Linked DNA regions of Oryzias latipes. The protein of the gene in region 2 purifies or fractionates together with the protein of the main gene of each other region. This does not show direct contact. Links are inferred from orthologs where the notes say so. Each region holds a gene or a part of one and is shown on either strand. Other genes may lie near its edges. The genes, in order: rpl35a, ptpn6 and kdr.

What was found.
Region 1: the proteins of ptpn6 (region 2) and rpl35a purify together in Homo sapiens (affinity purification with mass spectrometry; 3 studies listed by BioGRID and IntAct, with this or other methods). This does not show direct contact. The link is inferred for Oryzias latipes from reciprocal best matches to the Homo sapiens genes PTPN6 and RPL35A.
Region 3: the proteins of ptpn6 (region 2) and kdr purify together in Homo sapiens (affinity purification with western blotting; 3 studies listed by BioGRID and IntAct, with this or other methods). This does not show direct contact. The link is inferred for Oryzias latipes from reciprocal best matches to the Homo sapiens genes PTPN6 and KDR.

The regions. Positions count from the first base shown.
Region 1 is NC_019871.2:2,356-6,583, reverse strand, and holds the start of rpl35a (60S ribosomal protein L35a), read left to right. Parts: upstream 1-1,350; 5' UTR 1,351-1,443; intron 1,444-2,038; 5' UTR 2,039-2,063; coding exon 2,064-2,074; intron 2,075-2,278; coding exon 2,279-2,431; intron 2,432-2,497; coding exon 2,498-2,642; intron 2,643-4,228.
Region 2 is NC_019874.2:20,377,596-20,381,844, reverse strand, and holds the start of ptpn6 (tyrosine-protein phosphatase non-receptor type 6), read left to right. Parts: upstream 1-1,386; 5' UTR 1,387-1,904; intron 1,905-2,216; 5' UTR 2,217-2,280; coding exon 2,281-2,288; intron 2,289-3,237; coding exon 3,238-3,360; intron 3,361-4,249. UniProt on the Homo sapiens protein: Tyrosine phosphatase enzyme that plays important roles in controlling immune signaling pathways and fundamental physiological processes such as hematopoiesis.
Region 3 is NC_019862.2:260,603-264,248, reverse strand, and holds part of kdr (vascular endothelial growth factor receptor 2), read right to left. Parts: intron 3,591-3,646; coding exon 3,451-3,590; intron 1,732-3,450; coding exon 1,560-1,731; intron 297-1,559; coding exon 182-296; intron 70-181; coding exon 1-69. UniProt on the Homo sapiens protein: Tyrosine-protein kinase that acts as a cell-surface receptor for VEGFA, VEGFC and VEGFD. Plays an essential role in the regulation of angiogenesis, vascular development, vascular permeability, and embryonic hematopoiesis.

The DNA.
Region 1 (4,228 bases), on a different chromosome or scaffold from region 2:
TTTCAGCTGTGATGACGAGCTAGCATTAGCCGGGCTAGCTCGTCATCACAGCTGACCTTTAGCTGGCTTAAGCCACCCCCACCTGTCTGGGCTCAGGTTCGTGTCTCCATCAGATCCAGGACCGTGACCCGGGGGGGGGGGGGGGGGGGGGCGGTGACCCATCACCACTGATGTAAACACTAAAGCTGAGTCCTCACAGGACGACTGCTGCTGCATGATGGGATGACACGTGTAAATATTTACATATCTGTGTATGTTGTACATATGAGACTGATGCTTTCCTGTTGCTATGGAGACCAGGCTTCCTTGTCGCCATAGTGACTGGTCCAGAGAGACTTTCTCCTGTTTACTTTCTTCTGCAACTTCAAATGAAATAAAGACGACTGTTGAAACTCTTCTGTTTCCACGGTAACGGGCCTCAGCAGCAGATCAGGGACCTTCAGGGGGATGTGGGGGCCAAGGTCATACCATGACACGCCCACATCCTCAGAAGCGTGTTCTCAGTCTTCTGACAGCAGACGGCGAAGGGTCGGGACAATTCTGCCGTGCACGTGCTGCACCTGCTGAGCTCGCCGTGGACTGGAGATGTGCAGCTCACTTCCTGCTTGGGAACTTCCTGTTGAAGCCCAGGTTCCTCCGAAAGGTTCAGCTCTCTGCCAGGACGTCCCATCAGGACCTGGCTTCCCCTGCAGACACCAAAGCCTGGGTCCTGGAACTCATGGAGAAAAGCTGAAGGTTCTAACCGTGGAAACGGCAGCGCTGATGCAAACACCAGAACTTTCAAGATCAGAAGAGCCTCCAGAGGAGCAGGGTTTGGATAAGAGGTTTGACATGGAGGCGTCTTCAGACGTCTGAGCTGGACATGAATGTCAGAGCTGCAGAACGGGCTTCAGGAGGTTCTGCTCGCCCCACACGGTTCTGGCTGGACAGACGTTCCAGTGATCCTCAGCCTCCCTGCGGTTCTCTGCTTTCAGATGTGTGACCTCGTGTCTGTCCATCTGCCCTGCTGCCCTCATCGCTGCATCTACATGCCCCGCCCCTTTTCATCCACATCTCTGCAGGTTTTCTCTCCTGTCGCCTTTTATTGTTCAGGTCAGGAAAATAACTTTCAGGTAATTAGAAATTAAACTAAATAAATTTCCAATGGCGACGTGTGTCAAATCTAATTTGAATGAACTGAACGTATCTTCAATCAATTCAACTGAACTTTGACGTGTCTTTGTTTATATTTATTTTCCAGAAAATATATAACCATAAAACCATCTTATTTAGAAACCCTGTTTGAAGATGAATTTAGCGACTTTAGTTATGATAACATTTAAAACAGTTTGACGATGTCAGAAGGTTTTTGATCAGGCAGCTCCGCGGACACCTATCTTCACACCAATTACCCAGCATTCCCTTCGGCTGGCCTTTCCTTCCATCTACGCGGAACAAGAACAGGTACGAAGTGAATTCTTCCAAACTTCTTCCCAAACCCGTTCATGTTTACCCCATAACTACCGGTTCGGTCCGGACGGGTTCTCCTCCGCTGTCTGGTGTATTTTTGAGCGCGCGGGGGGTTCGGATGACGTAGATTCGGCGTGGATTATCATGCTGTTTGCTGCTAACAGCGCGGCTGTGAAATGAGCCGACCCGGATCATCAGCAGCGACTTTTCCTCCGGATTCGGAACCGGCTCTGCTTAGCACGGAGCAGATCCGGCGTTAGTGCCTTTGTTTATCAGTGCCCTGGAGGAAGGAGGAGTACCGGGAGAAGCAGCTCCGTGTGCCGGTAGAAGGAGTTCAGTGTGCCGGGAGAGAGACCTCTTATCCCGGCTGGGAGAAGCTACGTCTGCCGGGAAAAGGAGCTCCTTCCACCGGCACACGGACGTCCTTCAGCCGGGAGAAGGGGCTCTGTGTGCCGGTGTCGGGTGTTCAGTGTGCCGGCACACCGGCCACCTCCTCCCGGTGGAAGGAGCTCCTTCTCGGCACACAGACCACCTCCTCCCAGCATTCCAGTCCTGCAGACGTTTGACCGGCTGTCCTGTTTGTCTGCAGGTGAATCCACCTGAGGAGAACCACGATGCCTGGAAGGTGAGTTTTATCTGCTCATAGTTCTGCTGCTGAATTCTGATGTTCTGGTTCTGCCCTGAATTTGGACCTGATAAGGGAGTTCCTGCTAAAGCATATCCGTGCTGGATCTGGTGTGAACATCCAGAACCGATAGTGATGATCTGGGTGTCGGTAGACTGCGGTCTGTAACCACCGGTTCCGGTCTGGCTGCTGTTTGTGTGACAGACTGTGGAGTAAGGCCATCTTCACCGGCTACAAGCGCGGCCTGAGGAACCAGCGCGAGCACACGGCGCTGCTGAAGCTGGAGGGCTGCTACAGCCGGGACCAGGTGGACTTCTACCTGGGCAAACGCTGCGCCTACGTCTACAAGGCCAAGAAGTCAGGCTGGTTTTATTGTGTTATTGTGAGTGCTTGTGTTTGTCGCTAAAAGTGTGAATTTTGCAGGAACACAGTCACACCCGGTGGAAAACCCAACAAGACCCGGGTCATTTGGGGCAAAGTGACGCGGGCTCATGGAAACAGTGGGATGGTCCGGGCCAAGTTCAGCAGTAACCTGCCAGCCAAAGCCATCGGACACCGGATCAGAGTGGTGGGTTTGGAGGTTTAGACCGTCTGGAACTGTGGTTCTGCTGGATCCAGAGGTGGTAGCGCCCGTTTCAGTTCTGTCCTGGAGAACATCATCGTTCTGTACATGTTGCTGAAAAGTTAAAACAAACGGCATCAAAACGATCGTGCCAGTCTTGAAGGTGGCCGCCGTGCTGCCTGATCAAAACCATCGTGTTACATCCTGTTTGCCCCCGTAGTCTCCACCCTCTGGTTGATGCCCCCGTACCCTCCTTCCTCTGGTTAATGCCCCCGTAGTCTCCTTCCTCTGGTTGATGCCCCCGTAGCCTCCTTCCTCTGGTTAATGCCCCCGTAGTCTCCTTCCTCTGGTTGATGCCCCCGTAGTCTCCTTCCTCTGGTTGATGCCCCCGTAGCCTCCTTCCTCTGGTTGATGCCCCCGTAGCCTCCTTCCTCTGGTTAATGCCCCCGTAGTCTCCTTCCTCTGGTTGATGCCCCCGTAGCCTCCTTCCTCTGGTTAATGCCCCCGTAGCCTCCTTCCTCTGGTTAATGCCCCCGTAGTCTCCTTCCTCTGGTTAATGCCCCCGTAGCCTCCTTCCTCTGGTTAATGCCCCCGTAGTCTCCTTCCTCTGGTTAATGCCCCCGTAGTCTCCTTCCTCTGGTTAATGCCCCCGTAGCCTCCTTCCTCTGGTTGATGCCCCCGTAGCCTCCTTCCTCTGGTTAATGCCCCCGTAGTCTCCTTCCTCTGGTTGATGCCCCCGTAGCCTCCTTCCTCTGGTTGATGCCCCCGTAGCCTCCTTCCTCTGGTTAATGCCCCCGTAGTCTCCTTCCTCTGGTTGATGCCCCCGTAGCCTCCTTCCTCTGGTTAATGCCCCCGTAGCCTCCTTCCTCTGGTTAATGCCCCCGTAGTCTCCTTCCTCTGGTTAATGCCCCCGTAGCCTCCTTCCTCTGGTTAATGCCCCCGTAGTCTCCTTCCTCTGGTTAATGCCCCCGTAGTCTCCTTCCTCTGGTTAATGCCCCCGTAGCCTCCTTCCTCTGGTTGATGCCCCCGTAGTCTCCTTCCTCTGGTTAATGCCCCCGTAGCCTCCTTCCTCTGGTTAATGCCCCCGTAGCCTCCTTCCTCTGGTTAATGCCCCCGTAGCCTCCTTCCTCTGGTTAATGCCCCCGTAGTCTCCACCCTCTGGTTAATGCCCCCGTAGTCTCCACCCTCTGGTTAATGCCCCCGTAGTCTCCACCCTCTGGTTAATGCCCCCGTAGTCTCCACCCTCTGGGTAATGTCCCCGTAGCCTATTTTCTCAGTCCTCTGCCCCTGTACCCTGCTTTCTGAGGGCGCCGCCCCCATAACCTCCTTTCTTAGAGTAATGCTCCTTCTTCTCTTGTCCCCTCGGGGGTAACGCCCCTTATCCCTCGGGGGTAACGCCCCTTGTCTCTCGGAGGTAACGCCCCCCGCTCTTAAGGCCCGTACACACCGGGACGAATATTCGCCAGGCGTTATTCGCCAGCGTTTTTCGCCACGTTTTTTGTGTTCACACCCAGGCGATTTTCGCTGACGATGAGTGAAGTGAACATGCAATTTCCTTCCCTGACATTAGATGGCGCTTAATGTAAACAGAA
Region 2 (4,249 bases):
TGGTTCCGTCTGGCATTTCTTCAGTAAGCCTACATCCTCCTCTCCATAAAAAATGACCCTCGGCGTTTTAGAAAGTTTGGTGTCTATCTTCAGTCGTCAACTTTCCAGACTGCTTTGTATTATAGGGCCCATGTTTCCAAAGATAGCTGTTTGTTTTTAGCACAGCTGCTACTTAGCTTGCCAGGAACTGGCACAATTCAAATTCAGTTCTCCATCAAGCAGCTGTTTATAGCAGCATTTTAAATATGATATTCAGACTTTTAAACATCAAAAGCAACAATAACATTTAAAGTAACAACAACCATTAAACCGACTTCAAAGCTACAATCCATCCATCAGTTCTCTGAACCTGCTGAATCCCTTTCAGGGTCATAGGGTTGTTGGAGCCTATCCCTGTTACTGTTGGATAAACCCTGGAGAAGCAGCCAATTTGTTGCAGGGCTTAAAGTAACTAAATATCTAAAATCAAAATAAAGGAGTTGTTTTTCCCTGAAGAAAAAACATGCACTCAATCAATTCTATTCCTACTGATTGGTTCATTTAATAAGATCAACAAACTATAGATGTTTCTCTGTTCACCTTTTTTATGAGGCAGAAAATGCTCAAAGTATCAGTTTGCAGCGCAGTGCAAGCAAACCTGATAGCCCAAGTGAAAAGATCAAATCAGGAACCTTTTTTCCATCACTGTAGGTGTACAGCCATTCTATACGTGTGTGAAAAACGTCTGCCTTTGTCTGAGATTTGAAGCCTTAACATCTGAGAAACAAAGAGACCCCAAACCAAGTCTGACTGCAAAGCGCAAGTGAGGCAAATAATGCAAACAACAATAGCGGGCGTTAACCCCGACGACACCTGCAGGGCTGCATGTGTGTGTTTGTTGGTGCAGGGGCGGGGAGAGCTGCACCATGTACTAGAAACTACACACTTATTCACTTTTTCCTTTAATTTTTTGCTGCAAACACATAAAACCACCAAAGTCCGCTAGTCACTGAACGATTTTACACCTCATGTAGGAAACCATTATTTTCCACTTACATGCTATCTGGTTGTGAGGAATTCATGAAATAATTGCTACTGTATTTGCATTTTCATTTGTTGTGCATTTGCTTCTACGCAAATTTTTGTGTTGTTTTTAGGGATACAAAAAACTCCCCTAAAAGTCACAATATGTACTTTGTGTTTGTGGCTGCAGATAATTTACTCCGTATAAGGATAAAGCAGCAATTTTCAAGGTGCTGGATCGGCGTTCTTTAAATTAAAACAGTTGACAACAGCACATGATATATCAGCTTGCAGCAGCACACGCACACATGCAGCCTCACACATGCAGAGGGGGGAAGGTTCAAATGAGGAAGTGTTCTGTTCTGACCTTTGTGTTTCGCACACTCGTACACACCTGGAAGTAAAGAACAGAGGGCAGATTCAGCCGACAGGTGGAGGAAACTTTGCAAATACTTTCTGTTAGACAAAGAGCGGGCATATTTGTGCATTGATGAGGAGATGGAACTGCCTTTTTGGAGGGTGTTTTTCAACCATACGCCTGTTGGAATTGCCGTTGTCTCACAGCTCTGAACAGAGGAGTCATCTAAAGAAGCTCTGCAGCTGTTTTTCCAGAAGACGGAGGTGATGGAGTTGAAGCCTTCTCTGCTCTTAGATTGGCAACGTTTTTATTTTGGTCATCAATAAAAGAAAAAGAAAAAAAAAAGACACCATCTTTATCTGCTTGAGGAATTCCGGCCTGTCAGCTATTTTGGTTCCTGTCTTGCTTTCACTACTTTGTGAAAGGAGACGTAGAAAGGAAGGAAGGGGAGAGCGTATGAGCACGACGCAGAGGAGGGGAGACAGACACATACAGCGTCAACGTCTCGACCAGTGTCAGTTGTTTTCAGGAGCAGCTGAGGAGAGTAAGTGTTTACCTGCTTTTGCTGTTGAAGGGAAGACTGAGAACCGGGGTCAGCGGCGGTCCGCTGGTGGGTGGTGGCGGGGCAGGGGTGGGTATTAAGTTAATGTGTTACACCAGAGGGAGAGCAAAGGCAATTAGATTTAATTGATTCTTGATAAAAATATCTTAAGTTGAAGGTCAAGTTAGCGCTTGACATACCAAATGTGTTTGCGGTAAATGTACAATTCAAGTAGACCAAAAGTAAGGAAGCTGCAAAAACTACACAAACTTTCAACGCCAAAGTGTGTGATCTGAGTCTACACATGTGCCGCAGGAACAAGCGACTCTTCCCAAATCGCTCTTCTTCTCTTTAGTCCCAGAAAAAGTGAGGAGACGCCATGGTTCGGTGAGTCAAGCCTCTGCCGGACACATCAAACTCTGGTTTTGTTCTTTGTGTTTTGTGCAACAACTTCTCTGTTTCCATTCCTCCTTTTGTCTATTCCCTGCTGCTGGCCTGTCCTGCTCCTCTTCTGTCATGTCATTTGTGATCCCTCGTCAGCTAAACCCTGCAAGTTCAGTATAAGAGACTGGGACATAAATAAAGTGTTTAGGTTTCAGTTCTGTTGTTTCCTCAAAGCTCCACAGTGTCAGACAGATCATGTGTTCGAAAACAGTTATTAACCTTTTTTGTGCAATATGTCAGATTTTAAAAACCTGGTTATTCGTCTAGCTAATAAGGCTGTAAAGCAACATAATTTATTAAAGTACGTCAGCATTACTGACTATGCCCTAATGCACGCTTTGTTTTCCTGATGATCAACAAATTGCATGTAGGTAAAGTGAAAATAGTTTCTGAAGGTTTATGTTAAACCCTTATTGGATCAAGGATTTGGACTGTGGTTCATCACATGAAATTGTCTTTTATCTTTCTTAGGCCAGTGAAACCAAAGGCTTTAATAAAACCTTTAATTTATCACGTTAAAGTCACCCTCTGCCTTAGTATTATTTATGTTTGAGACTCTAAAACAAAAAATATAAAAATGAATATGTTGATTTTGAGGATTTTTACAAAGAATCTACTCAAGATTGTAATGAAACCTAATAATGTTTAAAAGATCATCACCTGAATTTCTTCCCTTCTTTTATTAAAAAGTACAGCTTTTCTCTCCATCTTTACACTTTCTTGCACCCCTGATCTTGTCGAGAAACTCCCATCTCTCTTTTGCGTATGCGTGCACCTGGATTTTCTTGGTCTATTTAAAGCTGTACATTTTAAATCTATGTGACACATGTATGCCTTCTACTAGGTCAATGTTGTTGTGCTTCATCTTTTCTATCTTTGTGCGTCGATCCAGGTGGTTCCACAGAGACATCACAGGCCTGCAGGCTGAGGAAATACTGAAGCTGCGAGGCATTGACGGAAGCTTTTTAGCTCGACCCAGCAAGAAAAACGTTGGAGATTTCTCCCTGTCTGTCAGGTAATGTCTGGTGTGAACAGATGCAGCACATGAGCTGCATCTGCAAAACTTCTTTCAAGTTTTGCAGCCTTTATTTGATGATAAGAAAATAAGCTGAGAGCTGCAGGCTCCCGCCAGGGCCTATATTTTGATGCGAATGATCTACGCACACATGCCAGTTTTGTTGGAGGCCTTTTCTTAAAGTGAGTAAAAGTAGCAGCAATGGAAGCGATTCTTATAATTTATAAAACTTTGCGGATTGAAAAAAAAGGTTGTTACAGAACTCCAAAAGACGTGGTTGCATCTTCTTTGAACAACAGCAGAAAATTAGTCAGATTTGCTCATTTTAGATGTCTTATCTGTAACTTCTTACAGCAAAAGATCCCTTTCCAAGCTCCACTTTGTGAAAACAGTTAGCACTTTCCAATTTTGTGTGAAAAAGTGCACAGCTCTAAATGATCTACTTACTCCCAAGGCCACTTTCTTAGAAAAAAATGCATTTTGGTTAATTCTTATCCTTTCATTTGGATTAAAAAACAATAATTCTAACAGAAAAAACATGTTTTTATGTAAAAAAAAAAAAAAAAAAAAAAAAAAAGAGTCTGAAAGCTTGATCGACAGTTTGATGAACCAAAAATGTTATTTTTGTTTGTAAAATTGTCTATTAAATCTGATTTTTTATTTATTCCGATGCTAAAGCCGCATTTTTCTAATATTTCTCCTCCTTTGGCCGCCCAAGTTGAGCTTAAAAATATGGAAAATAAATTTGTTGTTACACATGCTGCCAAAAATCTTTTAATAGGATCGATTGACTTCGATATTTGATAAGCTCGCAGCTGTAGCCAGGCTGAAAAGGACCATCACGTTTATGTCGGTTTACTGAGTATAAAAGTCCTCACCTGGTGCTTTT
Region 3 (3,646 bases), on a different chromosome or scaffold from region 2:
CGGAAGACCAGAGCGTCGCTCTTCTGTTTGATTCTGTAACTCTCCTTAAGTACTAGGCCATCTTTTAACCTAAACAGAATAATGGTACAAAAATGTGCAATGTGCAGCTTTTTCATGTGTAATAAAAGAACTGTTTATGACACACAACTGATGACAAACTGCCACTGCTACATGAACATACCATTTAAAGCTGGGTTCAGGGTACGCAGAGTACCTGACAGGGTAACTTGCTTGAGCTCCCACCGTTACTTCCCAGACCTTTGGCCAGGGTTCCTTCATTTCAATGAAAGGCTTTTCTGCAGGAAAATAACAACATAATTATTCATATTTATTTGAATTGTTTGAAAATGTTGATCTTATGGAAGTTCATGGAAGGAAAAACTGTGCAAATAAGACTTCAGCAACTGATAAATTCATCCAGCCAAGATGAGATGCTTTGTTATTGACACTAAACTATGTCCAAGCTTTTGTGTGTAGTAAGGAAAACCGTCAGGTGCCCCAGCATGAGCTGTATTATAGACCAGGTCACCCCTGCTCTATGGAAGCATTTCTGTCTCATCATTCAAAATAGAAGTTAATACCTGAATGTTTTTTCATTTGCACAATAAAGCTACGTAATTGACTCAAAAATTAGATGAAAAATAAATCTGCTAAACAGTTTTTTTCTTCTTCTTCACCGCTCAGTCTGTCACTTTATTAAAATGACAAAGAAAATGTTTTTTGACATTTCATTTTCAAAAAGTTCTCTAGTAAATGTGTACCAAAATTCAATTAGAAATACTGTATCTAAGTAGATGATTAAAATGGATTAAAAAAATGCTTTTTCCTTTTCACAATGTAACTGCATCAATTGATTCAAAAGTAAAATAAAAAATCAATCCTCCAAAATGCTTTTCCACTTTAACACCCCCATTCTGTGACATAATTAAAGCATTAATGCAAAGAGGGGATTGCATTTTCATTTTCACATCCACCATGCAAAAACTGTTGCATAAATCCTTTCCAATCAGCTGTTCCATGAGGGAGGCAGGGCAATGATGTCAGTGTTCACTCGGTGTGCTGCTCCAGGGAAGGCTTTGTAGCGCAAACAGGACGGCCGGCCGGCCGGCCGGCTGCTCCAGGCGAGCGAAGTATGACTCTGATCAGTGCAGCCGGACTCATAGCTTCGTGTTTGTGGGCAGGGAAGGGGGTTTTGTTACGGTGTGCACTCCGGGGGAGTGCAATCCCCTCTTTGCATTATCGCTTTAATCACGTCAAAGACTGGGAGCTGTTCAAGTAGAGAAACATTTTGGAGGATTGATTTTTCATTTTATTTTTGAGTCGATTGATCCAGTTACATTGTGAAAAAGAAAAAGCATTTCTGTTAATCCAATTTTAATTATCAACTTAGATATTTCTAGTTGAATTTTGGTACACATTTACTAGAGAACTTTTTGAAAATGAAATGTCAAAACCATTTTCTTGATCATTTCATTTATTTCTGAGTCAATTGATGCAGTTACATTGTGTGAATGGAAAAGCATTTTTGTTAATCCATTTTAATTGTCCAGTGCACCTACCGTAGACTTTGACGTATGCAGAGGCACTTTCATCCATCTGCCCGCTGGATGCCGTGCAGATGAATTCTCCAGAGTGTTCCGTTGTCACGTTCTCCACAATAAGAGTATTGGAAAGCTCCAGAGAGTTCCACAGCTTCTTCTTGTGGGGAATCGTGTGGAGTTTCCCGGAGTTCTGAGTTAGCAGGACACAAGAAATAACTTTGTTTAAATGTGAATTTCTTGAACTAATGTACAGTGTTCCCTCACTATATGTGGTTTACTTTTTGTGGTCTCACTATTTTTGAGATGTTTTTTCAGTGCAACTTTGCATGCTTTGTTTATTTAACAGTGCACTGTGTTCTGCATCCTGTTGACCTTGTCGATCAATCTCCTCCGTGCCATAAGGACAGCTGAAATAGTTCAGCTTTCCGTATTTACATAAATATTCATTGTGATCAGTAATTTGTTTTCATTCTATAAAACTGGACATTTTTTCCATGAAGGTTTGAACATTGAGAATTTAAACAAAAGAGAAAACTGTAAAAGTGTTCATTTCTGTCTAAGAAACATGGATAAAGTATGTAGTGAAGATTTTTACATCCTTAAAACATCTGTAGTTCACCTATCGCTGGTTATTTTTAGAACCTAACCCTGTGATAAACAAGGTAACACTGTATATTTTTTGATGTGGAACATCTCTCCATGTTTGCATTTAAAACATCTCAGCTGCCTCTTGACCTTTGACCATGTTGCGCTGTCTGTGTAGATCAGTGTTTTTCAACCTTTTTTGAGCCACGGCACACTTTAACCTTGACAAAAATCCCGCAGCACACCACGATCCAAAAAAAAAAAAAAAAGCAGGAATTCATGGTCTGTATTGATCGACAGCCGCCCCCCCCCCCCCCCCCCGCAATCTCACGTGGATTTTTGTGATAAATGTGGCAGAAAAAGCAGGAAGTTGTGGCTGTTTTTTTTCTAAGAGATGAAATAAAGGTTAAATTAGAAAAATTTAGAAACTGTTTGTTTGTTTGCTGTGGTTTCAAGACGTTTCACAAGGACAACTCATTGTGCGCTGGGACACTGTCCCTTTAAGCCAATGCATCATGGGAGAAGTAGTGTGAAAACTGCTGAAAAAGGGCAGAAAGACTCACGTCTCTGAGCTTCATTGTTTTGTTCACTTGTTCCACGGTCTAACAACGGACTCTGTGGAAAGCTACACACTACATGAGCTGCATGCGGGGGAAAACAACTTGGAGCTGCAGAGGATGTGAACAGGTAGAGAGGCGGAGGCGGGGCTCAGACTCACTGCTGATGATTCCAGATCCGCAACAGCTGCTTCCTAATAAAAAATAGTTGTCATCCATAAAATTAATATAATTTATTGGGTTTACTGGATTTAAAGAAATAAATAAATAGAATGGAGTCTGCATCAAAGTGAATTTGTTTCCATCATCTCACTCATCTTAACTCTGGGTGTTTGACAGACAGAAAAGTCTATTCAAGATTGTGGAAAATGGACAACAGTTCAAAGAAACATAACGCTCATAAATAATTAAATGAATAATTGAATGAATATCCTGATAGTATTTTAATCAATACAAGCATTGCCAAATGAACTATCACGATATATCGCCGATTTTTTTCTAACACCCCTAGTGTTGCGGCTCCCTGTGCCTTCATTTCTGTGGGAAACTGATGGAAGTGGCTCTTTGAGAGGTTCAGGTTGGACCCTTGACCTAGAGGCACACAATAAACTGACAGATGCTTGGAAGCAAAATGTCACAAATATTTTAAAAAAGACAAGGAAGTGAGAACCCGGAGTTCTGGTATGAACGTCACTGAAGCGTTTTCACCAAAAATGTGTCTGGTGTGGGGGGTGGAGGATTAGGGGAGGGTGAGGCGTGAGACTCACCAGGGCCCCTCCCGAGTGGGTCCAGTTGAATTCAATGCCTACGTTGAGCTCGGTGTTGGCAGTGCAGATGAGCTCCAGCTGCTCCCCTACAGCCAGCCTCTGCTGCACAGGGGTCAGGGTGAGGTCATGAATCTTGTATCCTGCGGAAAAGGGAGGGAAGGCAGTCGGCAGACAGCCTATTGTTCTCCTGAGACTT